Linked DNA regions of Sus scrofa. The protein of the gene in region 6 interacts with the protein of the main gene of each other region in a pairwise test. Links are inferred from orthologs where the notes say so. Each region holds a gene or a part of one and is shown on either strand. Other genes may lie near its edges. The genes, in order: RIBC2, SMARCB1, GOLGA2, SH3YL1, PDZK1, GFAP and KIAA0408.

Region 1 (3,987 bases), on a different chromosome or scaffold from region 6:
GAACCCACGTCCTCATGGTTCCTAGTTGGATTCGTTTCCATTGTGCCACCACAGGAACTTGGCAAGTTATCTCTTGACTCAAATATGGTTCCCGAATTAAGAAAGGAAATCTGGGCCAAAAGAGCCAAAAGGAGACTCCAGATTTAGGGAAAAAAATACTCCCCAGGGAACCATCCTTTTAGGCCGTTCTCTGCCTGCTGGGGGGTCAGTACCCCACTACCTCCCATCCCAGAGCCGAGGGGAGCCTGGCCAGGCCCAGCTCCAGTCCAGGCTCTGCCACTTCCTGGGCAACCTGGGAAAAGTTACATGGCCTCTCTGGACCTCAGTTTCCCCAACTGTGAAATGGGGATCATACACCCTGGTGAGGATTCAACCAAAACGGCGGCGCCACGAGTCTGGAAAAAGCTCCACAAACGTGGTCATTGTCCCGATACCGCCGTGCCGGTTCCTTGGAACCACACGGCGGCTCGGGCTCCCCGGAACCAATTCCCTCCTCCAGACCGCGCTCCCACTCGCTTTTTGGGGGGACAGAGGGAGGCGGGTGGAGAGCAGAGGTGACGGGGCTGAGGGCAGGAGGAGAAACCGCCGGGCAGGGGAGCGGGGGCGACGCGAGGAGCGGCCAGGGTGGGGCCCCGGGGTGGGGGTCGCGGTGCAGAGCGGGGGGGGGCCGAGGGGGGGTCCCGGGGGTGTGGTCTGCGGGGGGGGCGCTGGGGGCCGAGGGCCGGCTCCCCGCCCCCTTCAACCGCCCCCCAACCCGGGGCAGAGTCTGACCGTCGCCCCGACCCCGGTCCCCGAGCTGGAGGGCGAGGGGCGGGCAGCGGAGGTGGTCGGGGCCCGCGGGGCAGCAGCCGCCCGAGTCCAGGCCGCGAGGCCACCCTCACGACCCCTGCGGGAGAACCGGCCCGGACGCCGGGAACGGCCGGAAGCCTTCCAGCTCCCAAGTTACCGGAGCCGTTGGGGCCGATGATGCAGGTGAACCTCCTGAAGGGGCCTATGACCTGGCGGCCCCGCCACGACTTGAAATTCTCCACAAGCAGCAGCTCCAAATGGCCCATGGCTGCGCCCTCCGCGCCTCAGCGGCGTCCTCACACGCCGGCGGGAAAAGCGCGGGAAGGGCCTCGTGCAGTCTCGCGAGACTAAAGCCAGAACACGCGAGAGCGCTGCGCTGTTCCTTAGCAACCGGAGTTGTTTACGTTTCCGAGGGAACCCGGTCTCCACAAGCCCGTCGAAGGGCAGGAAGAATGGACTGAAAGTCTCTGGAGCAGGCGCGGATCCCACCGGCCCAGGCTCCTAGGGAACAGCCTCACTTAGCTTGAGCTTGTTTTATTTTTGTCGTCTTTTCTTTTTATCTCGTATGTTTTAAAAACCTCTTGGAATTTCTGGGCGATTTTGCAGTCATGGAGGTAGCTCAGCCCAAGGACCTGGAGGAGGACTTTGGCCAGGCCAAGAAGAGACATGCAGAGCTGTGCAGGCAGAAACGGATCTTCAATGCCAGGAACAGGATCTTTGGGGTGAGCCCCTTCAGCCCGGAATGGAAAGGGCCAACAGGGGCAGCTGAGGGGCGCGAGAGGCGGGCTGCGGGAGGCAAGAGCAGACAAATCCTTGGAGTGAAACTTTTGATCCAGGAACAGCTGCAAACGGCTCCAGGCCTTGCCTGGAAGAATAGTTCGATGTACTGACTTTGCTGAGGATGGGAGAGACCTGAACAGACCGAATAATGCCCCCTATCTCTTGCCAGGCAGGCAAATTGAGTCCTGCAGCAGGGAGGGGGCTTGCTGGATTTAGTGGCCGAAAAAGAGACTGGACACAGTTCTCCTCTCTCTGAGCCAGATTTTCTCTATTGCCAGGAGCTCCTTCCACTCCATTCATTTGACAAATGCCAGTGGAGTTCGTCTTTTGTGGCAGGCCTGAGCTGGGCCCAGGAGATGAGGAATAAAGCAGTCCTGACCTTCACAGCCCAGTGGAGGAGGCAGGCAGTAAATGGTCTCGTTACAATGCAGTGGAGCCAGGGCTGCCAGGGAAAAGAGCGCAGGGTGCCAGGGAGCACCAGTTGAGGCTGGGAGAGGGAATCAGAGAGGGCTTCCCAGAGGAGGTGATGCCCAAGTAGTGTTCTGAGAATGAGGATCTATTGACTAAGAAAGGGAGAAGGAACTTTGGGGAAAGTTAAGACAGGCTGAAGAACTAACTTCTTCAAAAGCATCAGAGTATGAAAAGTTCTGATCTAAAAAGATAAGTAGGAGAGTTATTAACTGAATAAAATTATCCGGCTATACTTCTCTCCCTTGGTTTTCCTTTCCCAGGGAGACATAGATGCCTGGAACGTACAGGTTTGTGACCAGAAGATAAGAGAAGCAACGGAAAAAGCTAGACAGGAAACATTTGGTGAGTGTCCCCTGCATGGCCACTTAGTGGTTCAGGGCTGTCACCCTTTAGACCCCTCACCTTATTTCCTCACATATGTACAAATTTGTTTTCAAGCTCTTCCTCCTTTTAAAATGTCACAATTTCTTGTGCTTGAGTTAATGTGCTGATTCTCCATCACTTAAAAGAAAATCAGCTATTGAATTCTCTGTGAGCTGTAGGAAATATATTATGAGGATAGATGTATGTTTTTCTCTGTTTCCTTAAAAAACTGAGTATGAAAAATCTTAAACGCACATGTTTCCTGGCCAGAAAATTCAAGACCTTCTACTGGGGATGGCTGCTTGCACTAGACAACACACACCCCTGAGCTCACACCCCTGAGCTGACTCAGAACCAGATATGGTCCAAATAATAGTATTTGAGCTCTTAGATCAAATTCTCAAATAAAATTCCTTTCTCCCATCATGTCCAACAGCTACTTTTAAAGCATCATAAGGATTTTTTTTTTTTTTTTTTTTTTTGGCCAAGCCTCAGCATGTGGAAGTTCCCGAGCCAGGGATCAAACCCATGCCACTACAGCAGTGATCTGAGCCATGAGCCACGGCAGTGGCAATGCTGGATCCTTAACCTGCTGAGCCACCAGGGAACTCCAAGGATTTTTTAAATAGAAAAAAGCATATAAAATTGTATATACAAAAGTTATCAACTAAATTTAAATATATATATATAACTTTTAAAAAATGTAAAAATATACTTAGAAAAACACAGAAAGGAAATATACCAACATGTTAGCAGTGGTAAAATTGGAGTGATGGCATGATGAGTGAAGCTTATTTTCTTTATAATGTTTCATATTTTCTAAACCTTTCATCTTTTAAAATTCTAGTTTAGGGAGTTCCTGTCATGGCTCAGTGGTTAACGAATCCGACTAGGAACCATGAGGTTGCAGGTTCGATCCCTGACCTTGCTCAGTGGGTTAACGATCCGGCGTTGCCGTGAGCTATGGTGTAGGTTGCAGACACAGCTCAGATCCCACATTGCTGTGGCTCTGGCGTAGGCTGGCGGCTACAGCTCCAATTCGACCCCTAGCCTGGGAACCTCCATATGCCGCAGGAGCAGCCCAAGAAAATGACAAAAAAAAAAAAATCTAGTTTAAAAGTAATTCAAACTTAGAAAAATGATATAACAGACGTAATACATACCCACCACCGATTAGATGTTAACATTTTGCCAACCTGGCTTTAGATATCTTACGTTAAGAATACTTTTTTTTTTTTTTTGCTTTTAGGGCCTCACTCCCAGCATATGGAAATTCCCAGGCTAGGAATTGGAGCTGCAGCTGCCTGCCTTTGCCACAGCCACCTCACATCCGAGCCACGTCTTCAGCCTGCACCACAGCTCACAGCAATGCCAGATCCTTAACCCATTGAGCGAGGCCAGGGATCGAACCCACATCCACATGGATCCTAGCTGGGTTCGTTAACCGCTGAGCCACGAAGGGAACTCCCTGGATATATCCTTTTGCAACATTTAAAAAATTCAATGGTCTATTTTGGAATTAATCAGTGATCTACATACAGAATATTCATTTTAATTGCTTTATAGTGTTTTGTTATATGAATT
Region 2 (3,500 bases), on a different chromosome or scaffold from region 6:
CAGCCTCCAGCACGGCTGGGCCCCATGTGGCCCAGCCTGGCTCGACCTCACCCCCAGCTCCTCGGGCAGTGTTTCTGGGCCCAGTCCCCGGACTTTTCCTCTGCCAGGTTCAAATGCTGTCCATGTGACTCACTGTGTGAGCTGCCTGTGGCTCCTGGCACAAAATGCCACAAACTGGTGGCTTAAAACAACACAAGTCTGGGAGCTTCCTGGTGGTCTAGTGGTTAGGACTCGGCACTTTCATTGCTATGGCCTGGATTCAGTCCTTGGTCTAGGAACTGAGATCCCACATCAAGCTGCTGCACACTGGGCCAAAAACAAACAAGCAAACCAACAGTACCCCCCTCCCAAAAAACCCCTAAGTTTATTCTCAGGGTTTTGGATCCCAGGACCTTCACTTGGCCCTTCTCCCTCTGGGAGCTGGTCTAACTTCTGGCAGGCACTTTCCTTGTTCTGGTGGCTGCCTCACTCCAGTCTCTTCAGTGGCCACATAGTCATGTGGCCTTCCCCCCCTCCCCCCTGCCGTGTGTGTGTGTGTGTGTGTGTGTGTGTGTGTCTCTGAGAGAGATTTCCCCGTTTATTGTAAGAACACTTGTGATGTAATTTAGGGCCCCTTTGGATAATCTTCTCTCAAGATTCTTAATCACTAATGTAAGCCCCGCCCTTTTATTTGCTCTACAAGGAAACAATCAGGTTCTAAGACTTAGGACCTAGATGTCTTCAGGAGGCCTTTTTGCAAGCTCCCATCCCCTGAGCTCTCCCCTAACCGGCCCTGGGCACCCCCACATGCACCGCCTGCATCCCGGGACACGGCAGTCCCACCCTCGCTGTCCTCGGGCCCAAACCCTGCAACCCTTCCTCCTTCTCACACCACAGAGCCAGTCTCAGTAGATTCTGCATGCCCAGCCTTCTGAGTATCCAGAATCTGACCATCCCTGGCCAGCTCCCCATCAGCCAGGGTGGGTCCTCCAGATGCCCATCACACTGATGTCAGCAGGCCAGAGTCCAGGTGGTGGCCGCCCCTCTCTGGCCCCATCTTCTGCCACCCACTGCCTTCCCCGCCTCAGGCCTTCTCAGCGCTCCAAGGCCACCCCGGAGCTCCTGCCTTTGTGGTTGCCTCGCTTCTTGCCAGCACCTGCAGGCTCACCCCTACCTCCCTTCTCCTTCCCACCTTCCTCCCTCCCACCTTTTCCTTCCTTCCCATCTGTGTTTGAATGTCTTCTCCGAGTGCCCTCCCATTAGAATGGCCACTCTGGAGTTCCTGTCGTGACTCAGCAGTAATAAACCCGATGAGTATCCATGAGGACGTGGGTTTTAACCTTGGCCTCTCTCAGTGGGTTAAGGATCCGGTGTTGCCGTGAGCTGTGGTGTAGGTCGCAGATGTGACTCAGATCTGGCATTGCTGTGGCTGTGGTGTAGGCTGGCAGTACTGCTCCAATTAGACCCTTAGCCTGGGAACTACCATATGCCATTAATGCCGCCCTAAAAAGACCAAAAAAAAAAAAAAAAAAAAAAGTCCTTTCTGCCCCTTCCCCTGACCATGTCTCCCAAGGCCATTGTGTCTGGCATGGGGGTGTTTCCCCTTATCTTGTTTATTTGTTCATACCCATGTCTGGAACCTTCTGTCTTCCGAATATGCCCTTGGGTGCATCCCCCGCCTGGCTCTTCCCTCCTGTCTCCATGTGTGAGCAGGCAACCGCCTGGCTCACAGTCTCCTGAGCTCCCTTGGGATGGAAGCAGAAGGCTTGGACCCCTGCCGCTTCCCAGTACCCCTGTACCACTCCCCTGCCTGGTCTGCATCCTCCATGGCTGCTCTGGCTACTCCCTCAGCTCTCCCGCCCCTTGGCCTTTGTTCAGGTGCTTCCTTCTCTGGAAACATGTTTCTTTTCCACAGCTTTCTGGGGAAGTCCTGCCTGCCTTGGTACTTAAATCTCCCTTCTTGTGGAGAGTGTCCACATCTTTTGTCCCAGTGCCCAAGTCAGAGCTCTGCCCCTGTGGCCCCAGGACCCCTGCTGGCCCCATCTCTGCTGATAGTGGACAAGTCCCTTTAAGAAGCAGGCTTTCCCCCCTGGTCAGGGTGCGGGACCCCAGCCACCCTGGCTGAGCATGCTGTTGCCTCCCTTTCTAGCTTTGACGACCATGACCCAGCTGTGATCCATGAGAATGCATCCCAGCCCGAGGTGCTGGTCCCCATCCGGCTGGACATGGAGATCGACGGGCAGAAGCTACGGGATGCCTTCACTTGGAACATGAATGGTACGTGGTGGCCAACACGGCCATTTTGCTCACAGTCCCTTTCCCACCTGCCACCCATCAAGGGGACCCTGGACTCTGAACACAGCATTCAAAGCATCATGGTGTAGTTCCCGTCGTTGCTCAGCGAAAACAAATCTGATTATCATCCATGAGGATGTAGGTTCGATCCCTGCCCTTGCTCAGTGGGTCAAGGATCCAGCATTTCTGTGAGCTATGGTGTAAGTTGCAGACACGGCTCTGGATCTTGTGTTGCTGTGGCCATAGCAGAGGCTGGCAGCTATAGCTCTGATTTGACCCCTAGCCTGGAGGTTGAACCTCCATATGCCATGGGTGTGGCCCTTAAAAAACAACAACAGCAACAAAAAAATCCAAAAAAAACCCCAGCATCATGGCATGGATTTGGAAGGTGTGGACTCTGGGTTCAAATCCTGCTTCTGCCATGGTTTCCTATGGGCGGGGCACGTGACCTTGGGTCCTTCCTCCCCCAGTGAGCATGGGGGAGCCTGGCATGCAGGCTACCAGTGCACAGAGTGTGACGAGGGTCTTGATGCCCCTCAAATGGGTTCAGCCGGCCGGCTCCCCACATGTCCTCCCTTCTTTCATAGCACTTTGTGTGCATGCCACAGCCTCTGTCACTTCCTTGGTCAGTAGGGCTACTCTCTCCCCGCCCCAGTTCCCTTTCTCGTCCTTTGAGTCCTGGTCAGATGCCCACTCTCCTGACTTCTCATGTCCAGGCTCTGCAGATGTAGAAAGGAAAGCCGAGATCAGACACCCACCCAGGCATTTAGAGTCCTTGATGCTTCTGGGATGGGGGGGGTTACACATGGGTTTATTCTTTTCTGCTTTTCTTTTCTTGAATTTCACAGACTTTTATAACAAAGATATTATTTATATTCAAACAAAAACATAGTGAATATAATTTTTAAATGAATAAAAGTGTAGAATCATGAGAAACTCACCAGTGTTATCTAATGTACTAATTTAAGTTTCAAATAACCTACTGGTGGGCATGAGCACCCTCACGCAGAGGGCTTAGCAGTGTACAGGGCACTGGTGGGGCAGCCTGAATGAACCACTGTGTCGTCCTCTTCAGTCTGAGCCTCACCTGTAGAAGGTGTCTCTCAGTGATGAGCTCTCTGAGAAGGACCTGAGAGGGAGCTGATTGGGGTGCCTGTGGAATGTGGCAACATCTTCAGGGGGTTGGCATCTTTGGAAAGGATGAGCTGCCTGGTGAGGAAATGTGC
Region 3 (3,500 bases), on a different chromosome or scaffold from region 6:
TGGGAGCGGCCAGCTTGGCTGGACGATGTTTAGCTAATCATTACTTCCCTGAGTCTCCTCTTTGTAGCTGTACAGATGAAGGGGTTGGACCATGAGACTGGTTCCACCGTTCTGTCCTGCTGATGGGAGCTGCTTGGGAGGGAGGGACACAGAGAAGCTGGCACAGAGGGCTTGAGCAGGGGGAAGGGGACCAGCTTAGGCAGAAAAGGAAATGCTGCCAGTCGATGGGCAAGACAGGATGTCGGAGGGCTTAGGCCTCGAGGGGGACGGAGAACGTCTCCATGTGAGCCCTCTCATCTCTTCTAGTCTTCACCTTATATCAATGGGGAGGGCCTAGCATCTCCTGCTAACATAAAGAAGCTGGAGGTAAGTGGGCCTGGACCGTGGCCCCGTGACCCTGCAGGTCAGCCACCTCCCGCCCCCCCCCTCCTCCCACAGCGGGGGCTAGGTTCCCCACTGCCAGCTGAGACAGCTCAGACACCCCCCGACCCTAATGATTGCTCTCTCTACCTCTCCCCCCACCCTCCTCCAACTCCTCCTCCTCTCTGCATGCGCCTCAGAGCCGGTACCACGAACTATCACTAGCCCTGGACTCCAGCAATCTAACAAACAAACAACTCAGTAGCAAGATAGAGGAATTGGTAAGAGTCCAGTGTTGTCCCCGATTCCACGCTGCCAATCTGGGGCTCCAGTTCCACCTTGGGGCTCCGAAGAAAGGGGCTGGGGGCCCCTGGTACCGAGGGAGAATGGGGTGCCGGGGGCCCAGGTTGCAGTGAGAGGGACCCGGGAGTGCGGCATGCAGCATGGCTCTCTCTGTGGCTGCCCTCTTTGCCTCCTCTGTTCTCCAGACGCCCCTGCTGAGTCCTCCCCCCCCTTGCCCTGGGCCTGGTGCCTCTGTGGGTAACACTAGCTTGACAAGGGTGTCCCAGCCCCGGCTTCAGCCCCTGATTCGCTCCAACTTTGACCTTGGACAAGTCACCTGTCCTCCCTGGGCTTTAGGAGGTAGAATTAGAGGGCGTCCAAGGTCCCTTTGAGCTGGAAAAAAAAGAAAAAAAAAAATCAAAGATTTGAAGGTCCTTCTCATTCCTATATCCTTGCTGGTAAGAACACCCCAGCCCGTGGTATGTGCGTGTTGAGCGGATGCAGCCTCCCAGACTGCGAGCTGGCGGAGGATGTGGTCGCTCCCTTCTCACACTCCAGCTCGAGAGGCTTATGTCCTTGTCCTCGCAAGGGAATCAGGTTCAGACCCTTGGCTTCTGTAGCTGTGAGCCCCACCTCCCAAGACCCAGAGTCTCTTGGCTGAGAAGCGATGGCCCCTTCGTGTCCCCAGCAGCTCCTCCTTTGAAGCCCACCCCCGGCCCCTGCTCAGCCCTCCTCCTTGGTCTGAGGATTGTGGGAAAGGGGGCCGACCTCAGTCTCCTCCCTTTGCTTCTTCCCCACAGAAACAAGAGAACCAGGAAACTCTGGATCAACTGGAAAAAGTAACGTGATTTCTGTGTCTGTCCCCCTCACGGCTGGTGGCTTCGGGGGAGGGTTGAGACGTAGAGGCCCGTTCTCCTCGCGCCTGATCGCAGCCCGGAGAAATGGGGGGCTCCCTGGCCCTCGCCACCCCTCCCTCACCCCCGATTATATGTTCTCATTGGTGAGACTGTCCTGGGCCAGTGGTGGCTTTCTGGGGGGCACCTCCTCCAGGTGAGAGCTGTTTCTCCTCTCTTCCCGCAGGAAAAAAAGGAATTTGAGCAGAAGCTTGCGAAGGAACAAGGGGCTCTGAGAGAACAACTGCAGGTGAGTGGATCCTGCCGGGTTCCCTCGCGGCCTCCGGGAAACGTGACTTTGCTGCTTCTCAAGCCCCCCTTTCGGCCTTTGTCCCACAGGTCCACATCCAGACCATCGGGATTCTAGTGTCTGAGAAGACGGAACTGCAGACCGCCCTGGCTCACACCCAGCAGGCAGCCCGGCAAAAAGCAGGTGGGAACCTGGGTGCCCTGTGACCCCCTGGGCCGGGCACGCTGGCCGGCCTGGAGCGGGAGTCCTTCCTCGGGCTTCACCTCTCACGCCGTCCTTTCAGGAGAGTCGGAGAATCTGGCTAGTCGCCTGCAGTCTTCCAGGCAGCGCGTGGGCGAGCTGGAGCGGACGCTGTCTGCCGTGTCCACGCAGCAGAAGCAGGCCGATAGGGTGAGCCCGGCAGCCTAGCCCTCCCCGGACGTGTAGTGGAGGGCGAGTGAGCCCAGAGGTCCCTTCCACAGGATGGGGTGACTTGCTGCCCAGAAGGCGGCACTGGCCACTTCCCGCTGCTCTAAACTCGTGTGCTTGATAGAAGCAACCCAGGCATGAGTTGGTTGCCATGGGCCAGTTGCCCGTGTGTGTGTGGTGTGTGTGTGTGTGTGTGTGTGTGGGCGTGCACGCAAGTGCAGTCACAGTGGAGGTGCTGTCTAGTGTGAGCCCTGGATGCAGAGCTCAGAGTCCGAGTGCCAGCCCTGCCCTTGCCTGGCTGTGGGCCCTGGCCCCCATGCTAGGTATTTGGACTGTGAAGGTCCATGACGGTATTTTTAGTACGTTGCCAAACTAAAGAGGGGAGACGCACGCGTGTGTGATGTATTCAGACATGTGGGGAGGGATTCACAGCAACCTGGTGGGGAGGAACAGGGTGGCTGAGAGACTTGTCACTTCTGAACCTTCTGAGTTTGGGGCTCTGCAGAGGTACCATCCACTCAAACCATGAACACAAGCTCACAATACAGTTCAATCCCCCTCATAATGCACCCCCCCACCCCAGGGAGAAAACGTGGTTAAAGAATCAGACAGACCTGGGAGGTCCCGTTGTGGTTCAGCGGGTTAAGGACCCAACTGGTATCCATAAGGATGTGGGTTCGATCCCTGGCCTCGCTCAGTGGGTTAAGGATCCGGCATTGCTGCAAGCTGCAGCGTAGGTTGCAGATGCGGCTCGGACCTGGCTGTGGCTGTGGCGTAGGCTGGCAGCTGCAACTCTAATTTGACCCTAGCCTGGGAACTTCCACATGCCACGAGTGTGGCCCTAAAAAGGAACAAAGGAATCCAACAGACCTGGAAGCTTGGTCCCAGCTCTGGGTGATTTTGGGGGAGCCACTTGCTCTCTGCTACTCCGTGCTGGGCACCTGTATGATGGAGGCAGTAATAGTAACCGCCTCCCACGGTGATTATGAGGCTGAAAGGGGAAAGTGCTGGAAAAGGTTCAGACCTGGTGACGGTAACGGTGATAGAGCTGGTGGTATTACCTGCCGGCCCCGGGCCTGGGAGCCAGCCAGCCGGGAGTTAGACCCTCCACCCACCTCTTCCACTCTTCCCGAGTTCCTGTTAAAACTGAATGCGAACGTGAACTTGGGAAGGGCTTTGGAAACATGTAAAGTGTGACACCAGGTGAGGACACGTTGCTGAGAGTTACTGTTGCTGCCGTTAGTCTGTTTTCCTGACCTCAGCCTTCCGCCTTTGCAGTACAACAAGGAATTAACCAAAGAGCGAGA
Region 4 (3,500 bases), on a different chromosome or scaffold from region 6:
CCTTAGAAATATTCCATGTATAAAATGGAAATAGCAGTTGACATGAGTCACAGTGAAATGTTTCGCATGGGTCAGTTAACTGGCATTTTTAGTCTGTCCTATGGAACTTGAGTGTACTTTTTCATGAAATGATTCAAATTAAACTGTGTCAGAAATTCCACTGGGCCCTTCCAAGTACAATCACTTTTGGTAATAATTAGATTCTTCTGTCAGATGAAAAAACATCAATTTGAAAACACTTTAAAAATGATAAAGAATGGAGTTCCCGTCGTGGCGCCATGAAAACGAATCCGACTAGGAACCGTGATGTTGTGGGTTGGATCTCTGCCCTCGCTCAGTGGGTTAAGGGTCCGGCTTTGCTGTGAGTCGTGGTGTCGGTCACAGATGCACCTCGGATCTGGCGTGACTATGGCTGTGGTGTAGGCCGGCAGCTGCAGCTCCGATTCCACCCCTAACCTGGGAACCTCCATATGCTGTGGGTGCGGCCCTAAAAAGACACAAGACCCCCCCCCAAAAAAAAGAATGATATAAATGCTGCATATACGTATACAAATACATATTTATTTATAAAGGTGGTTACTATTATTATACCCATTTTACAGAGAAAGAAACTGAGGCTTTTGAGCTGCTCAGTCATTGGCCCAAGGTCACACAATATTCAAGAGGCAGAAGTAGAATTCACACCCAGATGATTTTGGAAGTTGGGTATGGTTTGGATTTTGAGCCCAGCTTCCCAGCCTAGCATTCTCCAGGCACTGCCACGGGGGCCTGACCCTCACGGAGGTTCACGGGGGCCAGTCTCCTTGTAGGCTTTAGCTGTGAGAAGGCAGGGGGCCAAAGGCAGCCACAGACCCCGGGTCACCCCGTGCTGGCAAGAGAGCTGGGTTGACACTCTCGCCTCTGTCGCCCCAGAACCTGGCCAGGCTGCCTCTCCTCTGGCGGTCCTGTCACAGCGCAATGACTTTGAAGAAAATGCTTTCTCCATGGGCACCTGCCAAGAGCATGAACTCATTCTAGTTTTGCTCTAACTTGGAGAAATCATTCTTGGTAGCAGGCATAACGAATGGTAACTAGTCTTCTTCCCGATAGTTGGAATGTGACCTAAAATTAGTGCGCAGCTCCCCGGGGGGTGGAGGTGGACTGGCCGGGACGTGGGTGCCCATGGGAGCGCCCCCGCCTCTGGCCGCCCTCTGCGTTCTTTGGCTTGGCTTTTTCGAAGGGCACTGTTTGAGGGGGCTTTTGCTCTTTCCCACCTTCCTGTGTTGGACCCGTTCTGGTTGGCACTGGGACAGTTCACTTAACGTCACTAGGCCGTGCTCACCGCCACCTCCATCGCAGGTTGGGGAGGAGATAAAGCAGGTGCCCCTGCTCGCTGCGGGGTGACGGCCTCCGATTACCTGTGGGAATGTTAGCTGCTCACATCCTCACCTGAAAAAAGATAAGACTCTCCTCTCATAGTCTTTCTCTGACTAGATTGAAATGCTCGCCACATTATATATAGCATATTCAAGTTTTAATCAACATGTGTTTTAAATCATATTTAGACAAAATTATTTAAAAATAAATGGTTCTCTACATTCCAGGTGTCAGACTTGGTAATAATTCTGAATTATGGCAGAGCAGTGGAAGCTTTTGCGAAAGGTGGCAACCTAACGCTCGGCGGGAACTGCACCGTGGCAGTAGGGCCCTTGGGGAGGTGAGTGCTCTCGGGCCCTTGGTGAGCAGCTACTGGACAGTGAGGGCTCAAAACTGCATTGTGTCACATTGAGAAAAATTAGAATGAGGCATAGTTATGATGTATATATCTTCCAGGGAGTTTGAGGTTGCTTTCAAATAAGAAATTTATAAAACACAACCAAGTATAATAAAATGAGATCATCTGAAACTAGCACACGCAGAAAGAAATGAAGTATTTCAGAAATACAGGCTGTGTATCTGCTGGAACGGCACATAACCTATGCCTGTGTAAGCTCTGAAGGAGCCGAGTCAAATCCGTTTTAACTGAGAAAGGGCAGCATTGATCAAGAAGGAAACCTTTTTTTTTTCAATCTGAATTGTGAAAAATTGAAGTGTTTCACTGGAGTGATGTCCACGATACTCGCAGTGTATTTTCCTGATTATTATTAATGAGTAACAGTCTTGAATGACTTGAGCAATTAGGTATTTTAAACCCAGACTGTTTATGGAAGTGACACAGTAGAATCATTCAAAAATGTTCTGCGTTCCATGAAGATACTCACTGTGAAAGGAACGGCAGTCTTTCACTCTTGAGATACGTTTCCCTGTCTCAGGAAAGGAAGACACGACTTGAAAATAGGAAATTCACACAAGGTCTCTGCAATGCATCACGCCCTCTGTGACATCTTATGTCCCGGCGGTGAACTGCCCTTCCTCTAGGTGACTTTGAGCACACCTAGCTTGGGCCAGCAGGAAGAAAGACATGTCAAAACAACTGTAGTGAGTGCAGAGCAAGACTGTCCTTTGGGGTTAGAGTACTGTCTAGTCAAGCAGTCACCTTTAGCTGGAGCCCACAGTCCTGTGATGCAAAACCTTCCATTTTGCAGGAATTTAGAAGGCAACGTCTCCCTAAGAAGCTCAGCTGCTGTCTTTACATATTGCAAATCACGAGGCCTCTTTGCTGGCATATCTTTAGAAGGTAGCTGTTTGATCGAGCGGAAAGAAACTAATCGAAAGTAAGTGCCAGGCAAATAATTTTAATTGATTTGAGGAGTGTGTGATGAGAACATACTACTTCATAAATTCATATGCTCTTAGGAGGGTACAGAGGGCCTCGGTGCAGGCAAGTCTGTCGGCACTATTTTTCCAGCAGCCTTTGCTCACTTGGTGTGTCTCCATCACCTTTTGATAACTCTTGCAATGTTTTGACATTTTTCATTATTATATCTGCTGGAGTGATCTGTGATCGGTGACCTTTGATGTTACTGTTGTGCTTGTTTGGGCACCAGGAACTGCATCTGCATGGGACGGAGAACCTCGCCCATCGCCGGGTGTGTGCGGTCTGCTCCCTCCCCTCTGCTCAGGCAGCCCCATCCCCTGAGACACAGCGGTATCGAAATGTATCACTCTGCAAAGACCTCCACGTGTCCACGTGGAAGGAAGGGCTCCACATCTCTTATTTCTAATCAAAAGCTCGAAGTGCCTGAGCTTAGTGAGGAAGGCGGATCAAAGCTGAGACAGGCTGAGCATGAAGCCTTTTGTGCAAAACGGGAGCCAAGCTGTGCACGCAGAGCAGAGGTCTTGGGGGGAAGGAAAAGGGCTGCTCCGGGGAAGACATGAATGCGAAGAAACAACCGTTTGAGCGGCATGGAGGGACTTGGAGTGTCTGGAGAGATCACATCGGCCCCACATTCCCTTAGGCCAGAGCCCCACTGTTCAGGGCTGCGAAGGCTGACGGGGGAGGAAGCTGCAGAAAGAACCTGGAAGCTGGCAGGCTGGTTCCCGAGGTCAAGCGAAGAAGCCGTCTGGGTAACATAAAGTTC
Region 5 (3,500 bases), on a different chromosome or scaffold from region 6:
TTCTAGGAGATAGAGGACAGATCAACACAATTTGATGTTCTTTCCCATGGATTTGCCTGTTTGTTTTTCAGCACAGAAATGGCTTCCTCCTTCAAGCCCCGAGAATGTAACCTGTCTAAACAGGAAGGGCAGAGCTATGGCTTCTTCCTGCGAATTGAGAAGGACACTGATGGCCACCTGGTCCGGGTGGTTGAGAAGGGTAGCCCAGCAGAGAAGGCGGGTCTGCAGGATGGAGACAGAGTTCTCAGGATCAATGGTGTCTTTGTGGACAAGAAAGAGCATATGCAGGTAAATGGGAAACTTGGGGTTCTTTTGGAATCTCTTCAGCCCCTGCTTCTTTGCTGACTATAGTTTTGGGGGTCAATGGAGCTTTCTTGGCTGCCACTCGCAAGGCAGGGCACCCTTAGGGCTGTATTCTGCCAGCTAAATTGAGTCTCCTACAATTAACCATGAACTGTAAAACTTGTTTTTAGATTTGAATAGTGTCAAGTCTCATATGTATTGCAATTTTGCTATAGGCCAGGAACTATGCTAGGCAATTTCATATTCATTATTTTGTTCAATCCTCATCCCAACTCATGGGGTACATATTACCATTTCACAGATGAGGAGGTAGAGGCTCAGATAACTTAGCTTGTGTTCATGCAATGAACATATGGGAGGGTCTGGCCGTACCCCAGTTCTCTCTGCCTCTGAGTGGGTGCCTCTTTTCATGATAGAATGCGGTCTCCATAGACCCTGGAAGACCTGTTGTGCTCTAGGGAATCATCCATCCCTAGAAAGGAGCAGTCCTAGTAAAAGTCCCCCGGGCTGGGTTTGGGCTACACTCTTGGTTACAATATTGCTAGAGGCCCGGCTTCATGTGTACCTGCATCTCGGGAGGGCCTGGGCAGAGATGGCTGGGGCACTCCGCTAACTATTTGGATGTCAGGGGTCAGCCAGTGGAATCTCCAGAGCCATATAACAAGCCAGATAGTGAGCACTCCCCCCAGTCACCACCCTTCAGTGATTGATAGAGGGTTATTGGTTAAAGTTATCTTTTTCCTTTTTTCCTCCTAGGTTGTGGATCTGGTCAGAAAGAGTGGGAATTCAGTGACTTTACTAGTTCTGGATGGGGATTCCTATGAGAAAGCCATGAAAAAGCAAGTAGATTTGAAAGAGTTGGGTCAAAGTCAGGAGTCGAGTTTGAATGATAAGAAACTACCTTCTGTGATGAATGGAGGAGCACAGACTTGGACCCAGCCACGGCTCTGCTACCTGGTGAAGGAGGGGAGTAGCTATGGCTTTTCTCTGAAAACTGTCCAAGGTGAGCCTGAGGGTGAGGCATGGACAACCAGCTTTCCAGAAGAAAGATATTGTTATCTGTTAACGACTCCTTTGACTAATTTTTCAAGTTGCTATGGATATCCAACAGCAGCTTCTCTCCTTCCTTCCCTGGCCCTTCCTATGCTTTGCACAGTTGTGCAAAGAGGAATCAGAATGTTGGACAGCAGTATTGTGTGAGTGGGAGGGGGCTAGGGGGGATGCTGGGTACACCTGTCCCCAGTGTTTGTTAGGCTGAGCATTTGAGGCCAGAGGAACCCTTGGTGAACCTTTGTTATTTTCCAGCTTCCTTAGAGTGAAGGTGGAGGGGAGGATAGAGAATAACAGGCAAGGAAAAGGAGGTTGTTCACAATAGCTACTTCTGAATAAGAATACTATCTCTTTTTTTTTGAAAATTTTATTTTTTTATGATTTTTATTTTTTCCATTATAGTTGATTTACAGTGTTCTGTCACTTTCTACTGTATGCTATGTCTTTCCAAAGATCCTTTTTTTTTTTTTTTTTTTTTTTTTTAAGGGCCACAGGTGTGGCATATGTAAGTTCCCAGGCTAAAGGTTAAATGGGAGCTGTACCTACTGGCCTACGCCACAGCCATGGCAATGCCAGATCTGAGCCACATCTGGGACCTACACCACAGCTCATGGCAATCCAGGGAGTGAGGCCAGGGATTAAACCCACACCTTCATGGATACGAGTAGGGTTCTTTTCTGGTGAGCAACAATGGGAGCTCCTCATTCAAAAATTGTTGAACACCTATTTGTGTTATTGGACACTGTTATAGTTGCCGAGGGCACTGAAAAAACCCCCACCCTCCTGTCTGTGGCATTTACATAGTACCCTCAGCTGTGGCCAAGTTCTGAGGTGCCTCCCTGACCTTTAGCTGAGAGGTATATAGTGATTTGAAAAACTCCAACCTTTTAGAAAGTACTAGAAATTCTGTTCCTAGAATTTCAGAGGTGCAGGCTGACCCCTGCTCAGTTGACCATAGTTTTCTAATGGTTTCACTGGGGTTTAGGTTGCAACCATAGCTGTGTTAGCCTTTTGATTCTATCTCTAATGCTGTTCATTCTCCGTTCTTTCTGGTGTTGGAGAGGCACTGGTAGTGGGTCATAATTTGGTAAGTTATAAAGAGCAGACCAGTAATAAACATAAAATAATTTCTAAGGCAGGCTTATTTAACCTGTGGCGAGACATATAAACTAGCCATAAGAAGTATTTCTCAAGTTTGTTAGTTATTACAACACAGTGATGAAGGTGGCCAAGGGAAGCCTGGCATTTCTTAGAGGTTATCAGTAAAATGGAAAAAAATTTTCTAATTCAGATTCTATTCATTTGGGCTTTGTATAATGTATGTGGTGAATGGTTTAGCTTAGCTTATGGAGAAGTTGTTTTCTTTATGACAAATATATAACACAGTAGCAGGAGAAATGTTTAAGTGTTTAAGGAAGCAGAATTTAAGCTACTGTTTTTCTTTACAAATGATTTTTCTAGTCGTTATGAAGCTACCCTTTGCCTAGGCTGAAATGGTAGTATCTTGAAAGAATTGACAGCATTTCTTTAAGAAGCTCCTAAATCACCCCACCTACTCAAGACTGTGTGTGTGTGTGTGTGTGTATACTGCCCTCTCCTCCTGGGCCTCTGTCCTCTCTAGCCTGTATCAGTGAGATTTAATCACCTATTGGGATGTGACCGTTGGGGACAGCATTAACTAAAGAGGACAGAATAGAGCAGAGGCCTTCTAATTCTACAGATGCAAAGACAGGGAGTATGATGTGGTGATGCAGCACAGGCATGATTGGGTACCTTCCGGTTCAAGCGGCCAGTGCCACCTGAGATTTCTTCTTTGCATTTCATTGGGCTCAGAAATTTTATTCACAACATAAAGTGCTAACCACTATATGATCACAGCCAGAAATTCTGTTCAAATCAACAAAACCTAACTGAGTAATGGCTGTGTCAAGCTTTGTGCTAGGAGCTGTAATTTAATTCTGGATCAGAAGCCAGAGGCTCTTTGAGTTAGCTCTAAAATGCGAAGTTCTAACTTTATCTTATTGAGAGAAAACCCTTTGCTGTTGGTCTTTCTGTGTAATGAGCTGTGATGCTTGTCTACCTCCTACTCTCTTTCAGATAAAAAGGGAGTGTACATGACTGATATAAAGCCTCAAGGTGTGGCTATG
Region 6 (3,500 bases):
GATTATTTCTCCCTGGACTGCTGCTCTTGGAGTGAATAAAGCTTTATGTTCCCTGCTCTTAATTTAATTTAATTTTATTTTTGCTTTTAGGCCTGCATCCATGGCATAGAGAAGTTCCCAGGCTAGGGGTCAAATTGGTGCTACAGCTGCCAGCCTATGCCACAGCCACAGCAATGCATGATTGGAGTCAAGTCTGCGACCTACACCACAGCTCACAGCAACGCCAGATCCTTAACCCACTGATCGAGGCCAGAGATCAAACCCACAACCTCATGTATCCTAGTCAGATTCGTTACTGCTGAGCCACAACAGGAATTTCTCCCTGCTCTTAATTTTAAATATTAGTGAATGTGACATGTTATATTTTTCTCATTGAAGGGGGTAAAAACTAAATTACTTCTTCCTTGTATGTGGCCTTCAAATGATTCTTAGCTAAGGAAAGAAAAGTCTTTTTCCTTCTGGGCAAGAAATTTACAAACACTAGCTATGCATGTCCCAGGGCTTAGTTCAACATCAGAAGGATTAACCAGCTAGACCAGGTAGAGGCAGTACTGTCAAAAGCCAGACAGAAAAGGGTCACTAGGGCCCAGAGAAATGGCAGAGAGAAGTAGGAAAGGGGAAAGAGGGACAGGAAAGGGACCCATGTGTATCAAGCCCTAATATGTGCCTGTTGTTAACTGACTCCTCAGTCTCATCTAGAGAAGTAGAAACCAGTATCCCCATTTTGCAGATGCGGAAACTGAGGCTGAAAGAGGTAAACTAACTTGCCCACAGTCATGTGGCTGAGCTGAGACTTGAGACCTGGCCCGCCTGACTTCAAGGCCCACGTGCTCCTTCCTTGGCACAGCGCTAGGTTAACAGGCAGGCACAGGCCAGGCAAGGGCTTACAGAGGGGCTGAAATGCAGCCAGGCCAGGGATGGAACAGGGCACTGGACAGAGCAGCCAGTACGTGCATGTCACAGTGGGGGCTTAGGAGATTGCCAGCCCCTTTGGAAATGCCCAGGCCCTCTCTGCCTGGTTGGATAGGCTTTTGCACTCATGGTTGGGGGTTTCATGGGGAAACGGAGGTGGGGGAGGATGTCTAGTGCCCTGAGAGCCCACGGAGACCTCCTTTCCTCACGCCTGCAGAAACCAGCCTGGACACCAAGTCCGTGTCAGAAGGCCACCTCAAAAGGAACATCGTGGTGAAGACTGTGGAGATGCGGGATGGAGAGGTGAGGAGGGCAGACTCGAGATTCTGGCCCCAGCAGGCTCCGGAAGAAAGCCTGGACTGGCACATAGGTGCTCAATAACTCACAGCGGCTCCCCGGGGAGGCTCTGGAAGAGGGGAAGGAACCTGCATGTAATTCAATTCCCCAGGTCCTCCACTGGAAGTTCGAAAGGGAGCCTGGGTGCCGAGGTCACCGGGTGGGGTCCCGACTCTGGCTTTCTCCCTTTCTCACCCTCAGACCCAGGTGCCCCCATGCCAGGCTTGGGGGTAGGGAGAGAAAGAAAATTAAAGTTAGCAGATTTCACTCCCAATTTTCAACTTCCTGCTTGGGGAAAGGAACCTGCCAGAAGAATGGGAAGAGGGGATTGGACACAACTCCCTCCCCATCACACCAGCAATAGCAGTAGCTAATCTCACAGCAGCTCACCACGTGCCAGGCACAGTGCTAGAGACTCACTGGTGTTACCTCATTGCCCCTCTGACTCCTGCACAGGGGTGTTCCTGTGGCCCCAAGGAGTTCCCTTATGGTACAGAGGGTTAAGGATCCAGTGCTGGCATTGCAGTGGCTCAGGTCACTGCTGTGGCATGGGTTCGATCCCTGGCCCAGGAATTTCCACATGCCATGGGCCAGGCAAAAAAAAAACATTTTTATTTTTTTGTCCTTTTAGGGCCACACCCTCGGCATATGGAGGTTCCTAGGCTAGGGGTTGAATTGGTGCTACAGCCACCAGCTTACCCCACGGCCATAGCAACATGGGATCCAAGCTGCGTCTGCAACCTACACGGCTCATGGCAACGCCAGATCCTTAACCCACTGAGATAGGCCAGGGATCGAACCTGCATCCTCGTGGTTGCTTGTGGGTTCGTTAATCACTGAGCCACAATGGCGACTCCTTTTAAATGGAGGCTGGGGACTTGCCCAAAGTCACATAGCCTAGCCATGGTGGAGCTGGAGTCTGTATGGGCTTCTAACTGTGGCACCTTCTCTGTCCCCTGCAGGTCATTAAGGAGTCCAAGCAGGAGCACAAGGATGTGGTGTGAGGCAGGACACACCGGGTAGTCCCTGCCCTGCACTCTGAGGGGCCTGCAGCAGGAGTCGGGGTAGTCACTCCTCCTGCTAGCTCATTTTCCCAGACTCGCGTTCCCACCCCCCCCAGCTGCTCCTCTTCCCCCTCCATCTATGCCGGCTTGCTGCTCTAGGCGCCATCAGCATTAAGCCTGCCAGGTAGCACTCACCCCCACTCCCAGCAACTCTAACAGGACACTCAACCCAGGCGGCAGCCTGAAGGGGTCTGGCCAGCAGCTTGAGTTAGAACTGAGAGGGAGCAAAGAAGTTGGGGAGAGCAGGGAGACCTAATAAATCACCCTCCATCTCCTGAATCCCTGTTGTCATGGCAACTGTTGCCAGAGCCGGAGGTGTCTGGGGGTATCTGGGAACTGGGCCTTTGAGTTTCCTCAGGCTGCTGGAGGAAAACAGAGACTCTGAGGCAGGAAGGGGAGGTCCCCACAGGCAAGGAGGCCCTGGCCAGAGGCTTATTCTTCTAGACTGACCCTGACCAGTCTGAGGGTGGGTGGGGCTATCCTGCCACCAGAATGCCTGGCCTGCCCAGATCACAGAGGGGGCTCCTGAGTGATGGTTCAAGTGTCTCAGCCCCACTGAGCTGCCATGTGGGCATGCAGTGGGCACACGGGAGCTTGGTTCTCAGCACTTGGGGGAACTACAGTGTAAGTGGAGAGGGAAGGGGTGCTGGGAGGGAGTAGAGGGGGCCCTGGCTCCTAGGCGTGGGTACAGAGAGGTCAAGCCCAGGAGGACTCCCCGCATACAGGCTGGAGGGGGGCAGGTAGAGAAGGGGGGGGAGGCAGTTGGGATAATGTTTGACATCAGAGTTGGAGGCTGTGGGCAAGCAAATGCACTTGGCCTCTGGGTCGTGGGACTCAAGAAAGTGACTCATCCTCTTGAAGATGGTGAAACAGGAGAGAGAGAGACTGCTGCTTGTAGGGGCAGGGCCCACTTTATCCCGGTTCTTTGTCCTTTTCCTTGTTGCATAACCCCTGCCCACCCAGGTCTGTGAGCCCCTGCAGCTGCCACCACCTGACTCTAGCACATACTACAGGAGAAGCCTTTGCTACACGGCTGACCCTCTGCTCCCCACAGTGACCACTGCCCTTCCCTAAGCCAAGGCCCCTCTAGTCCCCTGTTAGTTAAATACGAAATGTCCCCCCTGTGTTTTAGGTAGCATCCTATTTTATAGCTTGAGAAACCAAGACCCAGGCAGAGTGAAGACACTG
Region 7 (3,500 bases), on a different chromosome or scaffold from region 6:
ACAGTCATTGACTTGGGGCATTCCAATTTCTTTAACAGTGCTTCTATATCATCATGACATCTAGATATAAATGCAGGTTTGTGTCATTTCTGAAGGAGTTGATTTCTACCCAGGAAGACAGAAATTACCACCCATGCTTTTACCTACTAAAAGTCTTTATGGTTCACCAAAGTTGTTCAGCTTAATCCAGATTTTCAAAGTACTGTTTGGAAGCATAAGCATTAATCCCCTGGGTACACAGTAATATGGCAAAGAGGACTGAAAACAGTGTGCTTCATATCAAAAAATATTGACCAAGTGGATTGGGGGAAATCTTTATCTTTGTTTTCCCTACAGCTCTGCCACGAAGTAAAGCTTCGAAGGAAAATCAACATGAGTGAGCGTGCTAGGATCCCTGATTTCGATCGTGAGAAGACCATTCAGGATAAAATGGTGGAATCCTTCCCAAATGACCCCAGTTCAGGACAATGTGAATTGATGGGGGTGAATAACAGGGATGGGCTGGGAAAAAAAGATAAAATGGAGCAGAGCTTACTCAGTGAAAGACAGCCCATGTGTAAAGAACAAAAAGCAACCAAAAAATCCAAAGTAGAGTTTATAGATGCTTTGGCCTCAGACAACCAAAAGAAAGGTGAGACCTGGCCGGACCTGAAGGCTTCTGAAGAGAGTGAGAGCTGTTCTGGAGCCCTCCACACAGTAAGTAAGACAGGACTGGCCTAGAACTGTTTCTAAAGAAATATTTACATTTCAAAGAGCTAACGTGTTGTTGCTTCTACTATGAAGGCTCTTGAAGAACTTGCTAAAGTTAGTGAAGAATTATGCAGCTTTCAAGAGGAAATACAAAAGCGGTCTCACCACAGAAGGTAGGCTGGAACATCTCTGATGATTGTTCTGTTGAAAACTCAAGAAGAATGTTGTTTTCAGTTAATGAATCCAAACCGCCTTTAGCTTCTAACACTTTTGTTAGTGGGAATTCATAATGTTATTAAAATCTGTTACCCTAGATAGAAGATAAAAACTTAAATTGTATATGGCTCTGTTCACTAATTCTCAAAGCAAATTTTTAGTCTGACTATGAGGCACACTTTACTTTTTTGGTGTTTCATTTAGTTATGCTCACAATAATAAATAATAAATTAACAAGTATACTTTGATGGAGTTCTTTTTAATGTTGAATATTTGGCCGTGGAAGCATATATTGGGTTAATCTAGTTAAATACATCTCTAAACGATGTCGAATTTAACATGTGATGTTGTAATTGTATAGTGATGTTCTGCTGAAATGTTTTGAGTCATTTATTTCTCTAGATTTATTATGTCTATAATGTAAGCCTTCATATTTTCAGAACAACGTATTGTAAATATGTACACACATTTATGCGGTGCTATGAAGTGCTGCAGTTCAGAAACAACTATATAAAGGGTAAGTTTTAGCCAAGCTGAAAAATAAATTGGTATTTTCTACAATTTAAGAAAAGATGAACTGTTCTAGGATCAACATTTATCTCCTAGTGGGGCAGTATACTTCTCTTAGAAAGCTACAGGACCGTGTACCCTTCTTTTTCTTTAGCTCTTTGGAAGCTCAGAGAGAATTTTGGTACTGATTTACAACAGATTTTCTTACTCAACCATGTTTTATACATAATTTTGCTTCCACTCTCCCATTTAGCCTTTGCCTATTATTCTCTGTTGAGTATTTATCTGCACTTTCTTATAAGCTATAACTTGAAGAGACATAAATATGATTTGTATTTATCAATATAATTAGTTAACACTAATTTATGAACCCACATTTTTGCTACACTTAGGTTTTGACTTTAGTAAATGAGAAAATTCTGGGGCGTTCTCATTGTGGCTCAGTGGCTAATGAACCTGACTAGGATCCATGAGGATGCAGGTTTGATCCCTGGCCTTGCTCAGTGCATGAAGGATCTGGCATTGCCATGAGCTGTGGTGTAGGCCACAGATGTGGCTCGGATCCCACATTGCTGTGGCAATGGTGTAGGCCAGCGGCTACAGCTCTGGTTGGACCCCTAGCCCGGGAACCCCCATATGCTGCTGGTGCAGCCCTAAAAAAAAAAAAGAAAAGAAAAAAAAAAATTCTTGCTTGCCAGTTTTATCTTGCAAACCCTACTAGGTATAAAGTTCTGTCACTTCATAGCCTTTAGAAAAAAGCAAAATCCCTTAATATGTAATTCAAAGTCATTACACTTTGACCTATGTTTCTCTCTTATTTTCCATCATCCTTCCCACTCTGTTTCATATTCCATCCAAAGTACTCACTGTTCCTTGAATAGCCACACTATTTTCACTGCAGCTCACTTTGTCTCTATGCCTTTTACTCATCAAAAAAAAAAAAAAAAAATTGTCACTTTTCTTTCAGGCCCAAATAGCACTTTCCATGTTGTGTTCCTCATGTCTCTTTGTGCTTTGATTTAAATTTCTATCAATACTACTTATAATGTTATTTCAAATTCATGAGGAGGGACTTGAGCTCAGAAGACATAATGAATAGGAATTCAGTAGGCAAAGCAGAGGTACAGAAATGGCAAAAGAAAACCTATAGTGGAGTTCCCGTCGTGGCGCAGTGGTTAACGAATCCGACTAGGAACCATGAGGTTGCGGGTTCGATCCCTGCCCTTGCTCAGTGGGTTAAGGACCCGGCGTTGCCGTGAGCTGTGGTGTAGGTTGCAGATGCGGCTCGGATCCCGCGTTGCTGTGGCTCTGGCGTAGGCTGGCAGCTACAGCTCCGATTAGACCCCTAGCCTGGGAACCTCCATATGCCGCTGGAGCGGCCCTAGAAATGGCAAAAAAAAAAAAGAAGAAGAAAAAGAAAACCTATAGAAATGACAACTGTAATAGCAGATACCCAAGAGACAATACGCAGTCTACTCTGTGGGTAGGTGAAATTTCAGGTAATTTTAAAAATGAGTGACACAGTTAAAATATCTTTAGTTCAGACTATGTATGTAGAGTCTTGAATACAACACAGAGGCAGGCTTTATCTTGCAGTAAAAGGGACTTGAAATTTTGGACTAGGGGATTTATATAAAAATGATGTTTGAGGAAGTTTTGACTCCTTTTCCTATAACAATCCATTGTTTTAGCTACAGTGTCTTTTAAGAGCTTATCATAAATGAGGTTATCACTAATATACCGTGTTTTACAATTGTTTAGGATGAAGTCAGATTCTTTTCTCCAGGAAGTCCCAAATGTAATTAATATGCCTCATGGAGATCACATGATCAACAGCACCCAATGCATTCCTTCAACCGATTTTGAAAAAGAAAAACAAAAAAACAGAAAGAACCTTAGCTGTACTGATGTTTTCCAAAACAATTATAAGAAAAAGGGTGGAATTGATATAATTGATCTGCAGAGACATGAAACTCCACCAGTTCCTCCTCCAAGAAGCACATCTCGAAATTTTCCCAGTTCATATTCTGAACAAGCCCATGAAAGTTTGAAGGAGAGTTTAGACCACAACATCTGGGTGACCC

What was found.
Region 1: the proteins of GFAP (region 6) and RIBC2 interact in a two-hybrid assay, tested with the Homo sapiens proteins (2 studies listed by BioGRID and IntAct). The two-hybrid records come from large-scale screens. The link is inferred for Sus scrofa from reciprocal best matches to the Homo sapiens genes GFAP and RIBC2.
Region 2: the proteins of GFAP (region 6) and SMARCB1 interact in binary tests that used the Homo sapiens proteins (3 or more experiments, as listed by UniProt). The link is inferred for Sus scrofa from reciprocal best matches to the Homo sapiens genes GFAP and SMARCB1.
Region 3: the proteins of GFAP (region 6) and GOLGA2 interact in binary tests that used the Homo sapiens proteins (3 or more experiments, as listed by UniProt). The two-hybrid records come from large-scale screens. The link is inferred for Sus scrofa from reciprocal best matches to the Homo sapiens genes GFAP and GOLGA2.
Region 4: the proteins of GFAP (region 6) and SH3YL1 interact in binary tests that used the Homo sapiens proteins (3 or more experiments, as listed by UniProt). The two-hybrid records come from large-scale screens. The link is inferred for Sus scrofa from reciprocal best matches to the Homo sapiens genes GFAP and SH3YL1.
Region 5: the proteins of GFAP (region 6) and PDZK1 interact in binary tests that used the Homo sapiens proteins (3 or more experiments, as listed by UniProt). The link is inferred for Sus scrofa from reciprocal best matches to the Homo sapiens genes GFAP and PDZK1.
Region 7: the proteins of GFAP (region 6) and KIAA0408 interact in binary tests that used the Homo sapiens proteins (3 or more experiments, as listed by UniProt). The link is inferred for Sus scrofa from reciprocal best matches to the Homo sapiens genes GFAP and KIAA0408.

What each region holds. Positions count from the first base shown.
Region 1 is NC_010447.5:3,973,225-3,977,211, reverse strand, and holds the start of RIBC2 (RIB43A-like with coiled-coils protein 2), read left to right. Parts: upstream 1-1,187; 5' UTR 1,188-1,397; coding exon 1,398-1,511; intron 1,512-2,300; coding exon 2,301-2,382; intron 2,383-3,987. Other genes in the region: SMC1B (structural maintenance of chromosomes protein 1B), read right to left, coding at 947-1,055. UniProt on the Homo sapiens protein: Microtubule inner protein (MIP) part of the dynein-decorated doublet microtubules (DMTs) in cilia axoneme, which is required for motile cilia beating.
Region 2 is NC_010456.5:49,892,544-49,896,043, reverse strand, and holds part of SMARCB1 (SWI/SNF-related matrix-associated actin-dependent regulator of chromatin subfamily B member 1), read left to right. Parts: intron 1-2,128; coding exon 2,129-2,256; intron 2,257-3,500.
Region 3 is NC_010443.5:268,710,156-268,713,655, reverse strand, and holds part of GOLGA2 (golgin subfamily A member 2), read left to right. Parts: intron 1-306; coding exon 307-366; intron 367-560; coding exon 561-641; intron 642-1,442; coding exon 1,443-1,481; intron 1,482-1,722; coding exon 1,723-1,785; intron 1,786-1,874; coding exon 1,875-1,968; intron 1,969-2,068; coding exon 2,069-2,175; intron 2,176-3,471; coding exon 3,472-3,500. UniProt on the Homo sapiens protein: Peripheral membrane component of the cis-Golgi stack that acts as a membrane skeleton that maintains the structure of the Golgi apparatus, and as a vesicle thether that facilitates vesicle fusion to the Golgi membrane.
Region 4 is NC_010445.4:132,708,836-132,712,335, forward strand, and holds part of SH3YL1 (SH3 domain-containing YSC84-like protein 1), read left to right. Parts: intron 1-1,583; coding exon 1,584-1,696; intron 1,697-2,564; coding exon 2,565-2,693; intron 2,694-3,500.
Region 5 is NC_010446.5:99,642,085-99,645,584, forward strand, and holds part of PDZK1 (Na(+)/H(+) exchange regulatory cofactor NHE-RF3), read left to right. Parts: intron 1-71; 5' UTR 72-78; coding exon 79-288; intron 289-1,059; coding exon 1,060-1,306; intron 1,307-3,450; coding exon 3,451-3,500. UniProt on the Homo sapiens protein: A scaffold protein that connects plasma membrane proteins and regulatory components, regulating their surface expression in epithelial cells apical domains.
Region 6 is NC_010454.4:18,462,781-18,466,280, forward strand, and holds part of GFAP (glial fibrillary acidic protein), read left to right. Parts: intron 1-1,129; coding exon 1,130-1,215; intron 1,216-2,210; coding exon 2,211-2,252; 3' UTR 2,253-3,500.
Region 7 is NC_010443.5:35,766,560-35,770,059, forward strand, and holds part of KIAA0408 (uncharacterized protein KIAA0408 homolog), read left to right. Parts: intron 1-336; coding exon 337-696; intron 697-783; coding exon 784-863; intron 864-3,177; coding exon 3,178-3,500.